Linked DNA regions of Oreochromis niloticus. The protein of the gene in region 2 purifies or fractionates together with the protein of the main gene of each other region. This does not show direct contact. Links are inferred from orthologs where the notes say so. Each region holds a gene or a part of one and is shown on either strand. Other genes may lie near its edges.

Region 1 (3,923 bases), on a different chromosome or scaffold from region 2:
CCTTGGTCCATTTTAACTGTGCATGTGTGCAGCTCTCGACTGTAAGAATTTATATTAATGCTTTTTTAAATCATTAATATACATTCTTTATATTATATTAATGAATATAATATTGAGGACTCTGTTGGAAAATGGCTGATATTTCTGTGTACTGCTTAAACTTTAGCAATCTGTCAACAATTTTGGCAACTTTTAGTATCGCTGACTTTCTTTATTTGATCAAACGTAAATAAAAGCAATAATAAAAACATGAAAGAAGCTTCTAAGAAGCATTTGTCACCTCATTTTTATGTTCTTATTTACTCACAGGTGTTTCCATCATCATAAAGTGGTGCAGAAAAGGCACAACATCATCAGAAATTAAAGAAATAATAATAAAAAAAAAACATTCAAATGTCCTGGTGGTGGGTGACTGTCTGTTTAAGGTGTCCTCCAAAATTCTCAAAGCTTGTTTTTGGCCACAAGATGGCACTACAATATCAGACCTCGAGTTTTTATGACTATAAGCAACAGCAAAAAAGTGGAAACCCATTCTGGTATCTGGTTTTTATAACCAAAAAAAGAAAAACCATATTCAATTTGTCGATACTTGTCGTGGTGAAGAAGGCAAGAAAAATTTCTGGCAGCGGTGGGATTCGAACCCACGCCATCGAAATGACTGGAGCCTAAATCCAGCGCCTTAGACCACTCGGCCACGCTACCGTGATACCCCACGTCAGACACATATCTATTTATACGACGGGAAACATCATCCTATTATTCACGTTATACGACTGATGATGGGATTTCACTAACACTAATACTAATAACTCTCTTCGAGCACATAATTATATTTGTAGTTATCATTGAAGCCCTGGATGGATAAGGCACTGCTAATCTTTTTAATAAGAGCTAAATTTAGTACTCCTAACCCAGTGTTAAGGCTAAAGCCATTTTGGAGCCCTGTTATACAAGTAAATATTTGCAAGGATGTTTGGCATGTCACCTGCACTATAGCTATTAAATGCCATGTAAGTGCGGTCGTAAAGCTTCCCGATGAAGCTCCGTGTTGCCCCACGTGGCCTGTTTAGCCAGGCAACCATTGCTTGGAGTGGCACTTTGGAGGATGGTACAAACTGTTCAGCTCGTGGTGCTGTCAAATACTCCTGTGAAAGTACACAATTTTGCTTTTTTTGCGGCCTGGCTGTACGATAATAATTTTAACCACTGCTACTTATGCTGTTTTTATTTGTTTACCAGATCTATTTCAGACCCGTCAGAAGTCTTTTCTTCCTTATCGCTAAACACTCATTTCCGTGTTATTATTCTATTTCCGACCGTCCTGAAAGCAGCAGGACGCAGGGGCGTGGCCAACAGAGAACACTGTGATACGTGCGGAGGGAAGCCTCCGCCGTGGTGGACGGAACAAGAACAGAAGCCCTGCGCCAGGCACGTTCCCGGACCTTGAGGATACCGCGGAGAACAAGGAGGCATCCACTCTTGTTTTGGTCTCAGAGGAGGGGTGAACTCCTGCTCCTGGAGCCCTGACTATTTAAGTGCAAACCAATACCGAGAGACGGAAGAAGACCGAGGTGACTGGATTTGCTGTCACAGTCTGTCAAGATTGAGGGATTAGAGGTGTGTCTTTACATCCGATTATACATTGGCTGGTCATTTAATACTTTTACTATAACATATCTAACAGCAGGTCGCGATAGATTAAATTAGAAGATGATTCTTTGTAGGAAACTCCACTGCTGCATGCTGTAGTTGTAAAACAGGAATGGCTGCTGCTATTGTTTTACAACGTGGGGGGGCACATTGAACCTGCAGAAGCATGTGCTTGGGTGTGCATTCCTGTGCTCCTACTTTAAAACTCTCACAGCACAGTAACCTTTGATTACACCGACCGACTGACTTGCTAGATAACACAGATAAAATGAATGAAATGCTTTTGATTGCTGGTGGCCTTACTGATAACTTAGAACTCCCATGATGTGTGTTGTTTAATGAAATCTATGGCTGTAACTCAAATGTGAAGGTCTAGCCCCCTTCGAAGTCCTCACATTCGGTGTAAGAGTTGTGCAGCCATGATCCATGCTTGTTTTGGACATACACTAACATGGCTGCCACCTGGTTCCCTGACTGTGCACTCTGCATGTGACTGTTTTTTCCCTACTTCCAGTCCATTCTCACACTCTGTTGTCAAAACAGCAACAGAAACCATGGAGGACGAACTCATGTTCAGGATGGAGGAGGACGGCAGCGCCAAGAGACCCTCTGCCCAGCGGAGCGCCCTCAAACACAGAGCATCCTCCCTCAGCGAGTCCAACGCCAGCGAGGATGACGACGAAGACCACTTCATCTGCCCCATCCTGGACGATTCGGCCAAAGAAGTGTGCAGCCACCTTAAAAACCTGGTTTACGCACGGCAGCTGTCAAACTCGCTCCCTAAATCCAACTTCATGTACAGGGTGAGATATAAGACGTGGGGATATGACAGTTTGTTGTGCTGATGCATCATCCCCGCCTCTCAGTTCTGCAATGTTTCTGTTTGCCTTTTAAGGTGTGATGATACGCGCATGCCTGCACACACCTACTGTGTGGCTTGTCTGGTATTTCAACACGTGTGTTTATGTGTTTGCTCGAGTGAAGCGCTGGTCAGCCCACCTTTTATTTAAATGTACTTTCTGACAGGAAGCAGCAGAGAGCGGTTTCACCTCGTGATTATGATGTGTGTAAACACGGCTCTCCCTCTCTCTCTCCCTCTCTCCACATCAGCAGGGAGCTGCAACAAAAGCTCGATTCAGTGCGCGCGGCTCTTTATCACAGCTGCTGTGCACTGTTGGGATGAATTGCCTTTTCAGTTTTTGTGTGGTGGTGTTGTTGTTTCAGAGCCTCCAGGCTGTAATTGTTATCTAAAGTGATGTTGCATACATTTCCTGTTGATGATAAAGGATCCGTTTTCTTGTTTGTTTTTTTGCATAGAACGAAAAAGAAACAGATACAGTGGCAGAACATCGACCGTACAAGGTTTTGTCTGAGAGTGCACGGGTATGTTTGGATCCAAATCTTGTTTTTTTTTTTTCTTCTCTCCCTTTATACCACTGACCATCCACGCCTCCAACTCTTCACTCTGCCCTTTAATTTGCCTCTCCCTGCTTTTACTTTTAACCACTTCATCCCTCCTGGATCTTGTTCTTTTTTTAAAAAAAAAAAATTTTTAATTGATAAACGTGTCGCCTGCTCCTCTTCAACATAAGTGCTGCTCCTTCCTCACTCTAAATAGAAAGACATCTGCTGGACTGTGAGCAGTGGCGCACGAGGAGGACGTGCTGCTGAGCAGCGTAGGTTGGGCCAAGGCTTGGGTTACTTGCTAACAGATTTAGCTTACTTGTGACACCTGATTCAAGTTATGTTTTTGAAAACTGCACATGTTCACTTTAAGGTAGCTGTAAATTATTTTATTTACGGTGACCTTACAGCCCAGAAATCCACTCATAATGTCACCATGTATTCATTCTCCTGTGGTATTTGTTTTCAGTGATTGTCTGCTTCATGTTTGTGTGCTTCGTTGTGAGCCGCGTGGTTGTTTTGACCCCCTAAGCACGATTTAAATTGAGAGGGAGAGCCCTCTAATGCAGAAATTGTGACATTGTAGATTTCAATTAGAGAGCTGATTATAATTGCAAGAAAACAGTGCATGCATTGTTGCGTAAAGAGAACAGACTGGCTTAGAACTGCTTTTATTGTGCAGATTAAACAGCTTTGCATGGAAGGGCTTCCCCTCTTTCTTCTGTGTTCGAGAAATCCTGATATGGGAAACTGACTTTTATTCTGCTCTTTATATTTCTCTCTCTTGTTTTTCTACCAGGCAACATGGCTGCACGCCATCGAAAAGGCAAAAGCGATGCCCGACCCCTGGGCGCAGTTTCACCTGGAGG
Region 2 (3,923 bases):
GGTGGTTCTGAACTGTCATCAGCTACTGATACTAACATGCTGAAACTGTATTTGCTGAGTAACTGCAGAAAACACCTCATTTTTCACCGTGGAGGTTAGACGATTAGGTCAAATGTAAACACACTTGACCTCTCTAGATCAAAAAGTGATAATCGTAATGGAATGGAATGGAATCGTGGGAATGCCACTGGAATGTGAAGTGTGTAGTATACCCAAGTGGGAGAGGGACATGGAAAGGTCAGCATGTCCACGGTCCAACAGATAAAGAAGGAGAAGTGAGTCATTTGGACAGGACTGCAATAGCAAACTCGTGTTGATGTGTGTGCGTGTCAGTGTTTGAGTGTGCATCTCACTTGGTATCTGCAGGCTGTTGGAGTCTGGCTGCAATACGTCAGCCATCTTTACAGGAGCCAGGGTCTGCAGAGAAACAAACCGATGATAACGTGATGAATGGAAAACGATGTCTGTGGAAAACACGGCTGTAATACATATTATCATCTATTTGACTCTTAACACTGAGAAAAAGAACTTTACCCAAGTTTCATGATATATTTATATAATACATTAGCTTTTTTAAAGCAAAGTTTTATCTGGCAGGCACACTGGTAACACTGTTGCCTCAGAAAAAGAAGAAGGTCCAGGATTTGAGTGCAGTGGGCAGCAGAGATCTTTCTGTGTGTGGGGTTTGCATACTTCCCTTGTGCCAGCGTGGATTCTGTCCTCCCACAGTTCAAACACATAAATGTTTGGTTATTTTGTGATTCCAAATTGGTTGCAGAGTGGGGTTGCTGAGTGCTGAGCTGCGTAGTGCGTAAAGGTCCGTCCCAAACCTCCTCTTGCACAAAAACTCTGCACCTAAGCTTCCTTACATGGGTTTAGACAGCATAGCAGCTCCTGCAATTTTGTCCATGTAGTTTATCATCTGCTGCAGATACAATGATCAAAAATTGAGCTTTTTATTCACATGTTTCAACATAATGGCACATGGATATCATGGCTCCATCAATTCACTAGCAGGTGCACTTTTATGGCCTGCAGGGATACTTTCGGAAGTCATTGTCAGGATTATTATTAGTAATAACACTCCTGATCTTTGTGCCATCACAAAAACCAACATACCAGAGTCAAAGCATCACATTACGAGGTCTGTTCACCAAACAACATGACGCAGACACTTCTTTGGAAGGCGCTACGTGCTGCATAAACATGTTGGAAAAATAGAAATAGGAAGCAAATGGGGAGTTTTGGACAAAGCAAACCATCATTCACAGCTAACTTCAGCATCAAACTTAAAGCTGTTAGAGCTGCACAGCAAAGATTATAATATGATATAAGTAAATGAGAGTCGATTAAAATAGTAAGATATGTTGTTATTATGTTAAAGGCTGGAGTATATCTGCTCCATGCTCTGTATATATGCTGCATCTGCTGAACTGACTTATTTCTCCTAAAAAAAGCAAGTACTGTATGTGTGTGTTTTTGTTTTTTTCCCTATGGCCAGTGTGTGTGTGTGTGTCTATGTGTGTGTGTGTATGAGTATTGATTACAGCTCTGGGATTATACTGTGATCTGAGCCAGGAGTAAACTAAACAGATGAGTGCAATGAAACAAAGATGTGTTTGTTTAAATCTCTTTCTTGTGAGTGTGTGTGCGTAAGAGAGAGAGAGAGAGAATAAAGCGACCATAAGTCAGCTTGACATCCTTTCTTTGCATACATGCATGCAACATCTGTGCGCATTTATCCGAGCCTGTGCCTGTGACACTGGAATATAACGTGTGTGTGCATCGCTCGCTTCCTTTCCCAGCAGCTGTCCTCACTATTTGATGTTAAAACCAGAAAGAGGATGAAACTCCCCAGCTATCCCCTGCCTTTTTGTTTTGCATATACCTGCCCCTTAGTAATGTCATTCTTTTTCTCTCTGTCGTCTCATCATCTCCTAAGCCTAATGTGCGGCGGATGCTTCACACCCACCCGAGTCCCAGCCGTGGATCAGCAGAACATGCAACTAAAACTCCTGAGTGACAGGTTTTGCAAAACACTCCACTTTTATGCACCATTAACAATAAGCTCTATCAGTCTCTAGACTGCAGGAGAAACTGCTGACAACATATGTTAGACATCTTTATCAGCTTTGACAGTCAATTCAAAATCAATGCAAACTTGCACAAACAGGATTTTGCCATCTTAGACAGAAGTTCTTTAGCTCGGAATAGAAGGATTATTGCATTCCTCTTCAGAGAGTAATCAACCTCATTATGCCAACAAGAGCTGGACCCCACAAAAAAAGCTTGATCTTTTAAGTGAACTCACCCTTTAAGTGCTGCTTTCTCCTCTGTGCCCCTTGTTGTTTCAGCCTCTCCTGGCTGCAGCACAACAATATTCCCAAACTCTGGAACTTGGCAAACTTGGAATCTATCTCCAGGGGTTTGCGATGGAGAGAAAAAGGGAAGAGGAGGAAACGAGAGGATGCTTTTCTAGGAATCCCGTGTTAAGAATGGAAGACTTCGTCCCAGCTGACTTGCTGGCAGATTCTCTGAAACCGGAATTCCAGAATCGGAAGAAAATGATGGCTTGTGCAAGAAAAATGACTGGAAAACATAAAGAAAATCCTCAGTTGCTTTCGAATGGATTTCTGAATTGGGTTTGCAGCTCAGCCTCTCTGCAGCTCAGCTCACCGTCTCCCTGCTCTGCACAGGAATGTCAGAGAAAAGTGGTGACACACACACACATGCAAACACAGACACGCATACACCAGTTGCAGAAGTAGGAGGGCTGTGACAGGGCACGGTGGGGGATTTACCCCAATGGGAAATTGCCGTTTGCGTTGGCGACTGAGGGTGGAGTCATTTTGAACAGTTAAGTCATCTCGCCCTCTCGCCTCCCTCCGGCTCCTACACATCTATCCTTCCACAGTTTAATTAGCTCTTCCTGTCTCCTTTTTTGCTCTTCTTTTCATCTTTTTCTGTTTTTTCTTTTTTTTGTACTATTTCTATTCTCATTCTCATATCTTTGCACTTTCACTGATATTGCAGCTGGCCTTCTTAACCTCTTCACACAGGCGTGCAGATCATACAGGTATAAGGGGCGGGACAATTTTCTCTTTTTCTTATGCTTTGGGTGTCCGTCCATGCATTGAGGTTGAGTTCTGCGCTGCAGGGATCTGATTTCTCCCCACTAGAGCTGTGATGGAAAGCATACATTAACCCCTCGTGCTTGCATACACACACACCTACGCACAGACGACACGTTGTGACTAACCGGGCCCTCTCCCAATGCACAGAAGAAGCAAGAAGTGAGAAGGAAAAATGGCCCAAGGTATATACACACACATCCACATATACACCCCTTATCCCGTCAGATTTCCAAATCGAATTAGAGTGTAGGCTTACTAGTGTGCAACTGTGTGTGTGTGTGTGTGTCTGGAAACCATTACCTGGCACGCCTCCCCTTTGCTGCCCAAAAACCAAGAGGCCCCATACAGATCCTGCCATCACCTCTCTCTTTCTCTTTATTGCCTTTTTTCATGCAGATGTTTTCCCCCCACATTTAAAGCACACTCTTTCTTTGTTTAATCCCTTTCATTTGATCTCTTGCCCACGTTCATTTGCTCCGGTTAATTTTCTAATCATTTACATCAGCAGTCGGGCGGTAACATTTCAGATCTGCGCTTTTCATCATTTTGATTGTGTTTAGCAGCCGGCTTCATCCTGATCATCATCAGATCTACAAGAGGGGCCTCGCTCTGGGTCCGCTGCCCCTTTCCTCAGCCTCACCATTCTCCTCCGAGATTCAGACGCAGGAAACTGAGCGCGGGAAGTGATGGAGTCAGGTGACAGGAAGGAACCCCTGCGTGTCATTCCTCTCATGAATTCCACATTATCTCTGGAACCCTGGAAGTCCTCGAGCAAAGGAAACACACCCA

Evidence for each region.
Region 1: the proteins of hspa12b (region 2) and eef2k purify together in Homo sapiens (affinity purification with mass spectrometry; 3 studies listed by BioGRID and IntAct, with this or other methods). This does not show direct contact. The link is inferred for Oreochromis niloticus from reciprocal best matches to the Homo sapiens genes HSPA12B and EEF2K.

Annotation. Positions count from the first base shown.
Region 1 is NC_031973.2:9,895,313-9,899,235, forward strand, and holds the start of eef2k (eukaryotic elongation factor 2 kinase), read left to right. Parts: upstream 1-1,340; 5' UTR 1,341-1,617; intron 1,618-2,164; exon of another isoform or gene 2,165-2,193; 5' UTR 2,194-2,204; coding exon 2,205-2,453; intron 2,454-2,967; coding exon 2,968-3,033; intron 3,034-3,853; coding exon 3,854-3,923. UniProt on the Homo sapiens protein: Threonine kinase that regulates protein synthesis by controlling the rate of peptide chain elongation.
Region 2 is NC_031967.2:9,944,652-9,948,574, reverse strand, and holds the start of hspa12b (heat shock 70 kDa protein 12B), read right to left. Parts: upstream 2,786-3,923; 5' UTR 2,312-2,785; intron 926-2,311; 5' UTR 499-925; coding exon 354-498; intron 1-353.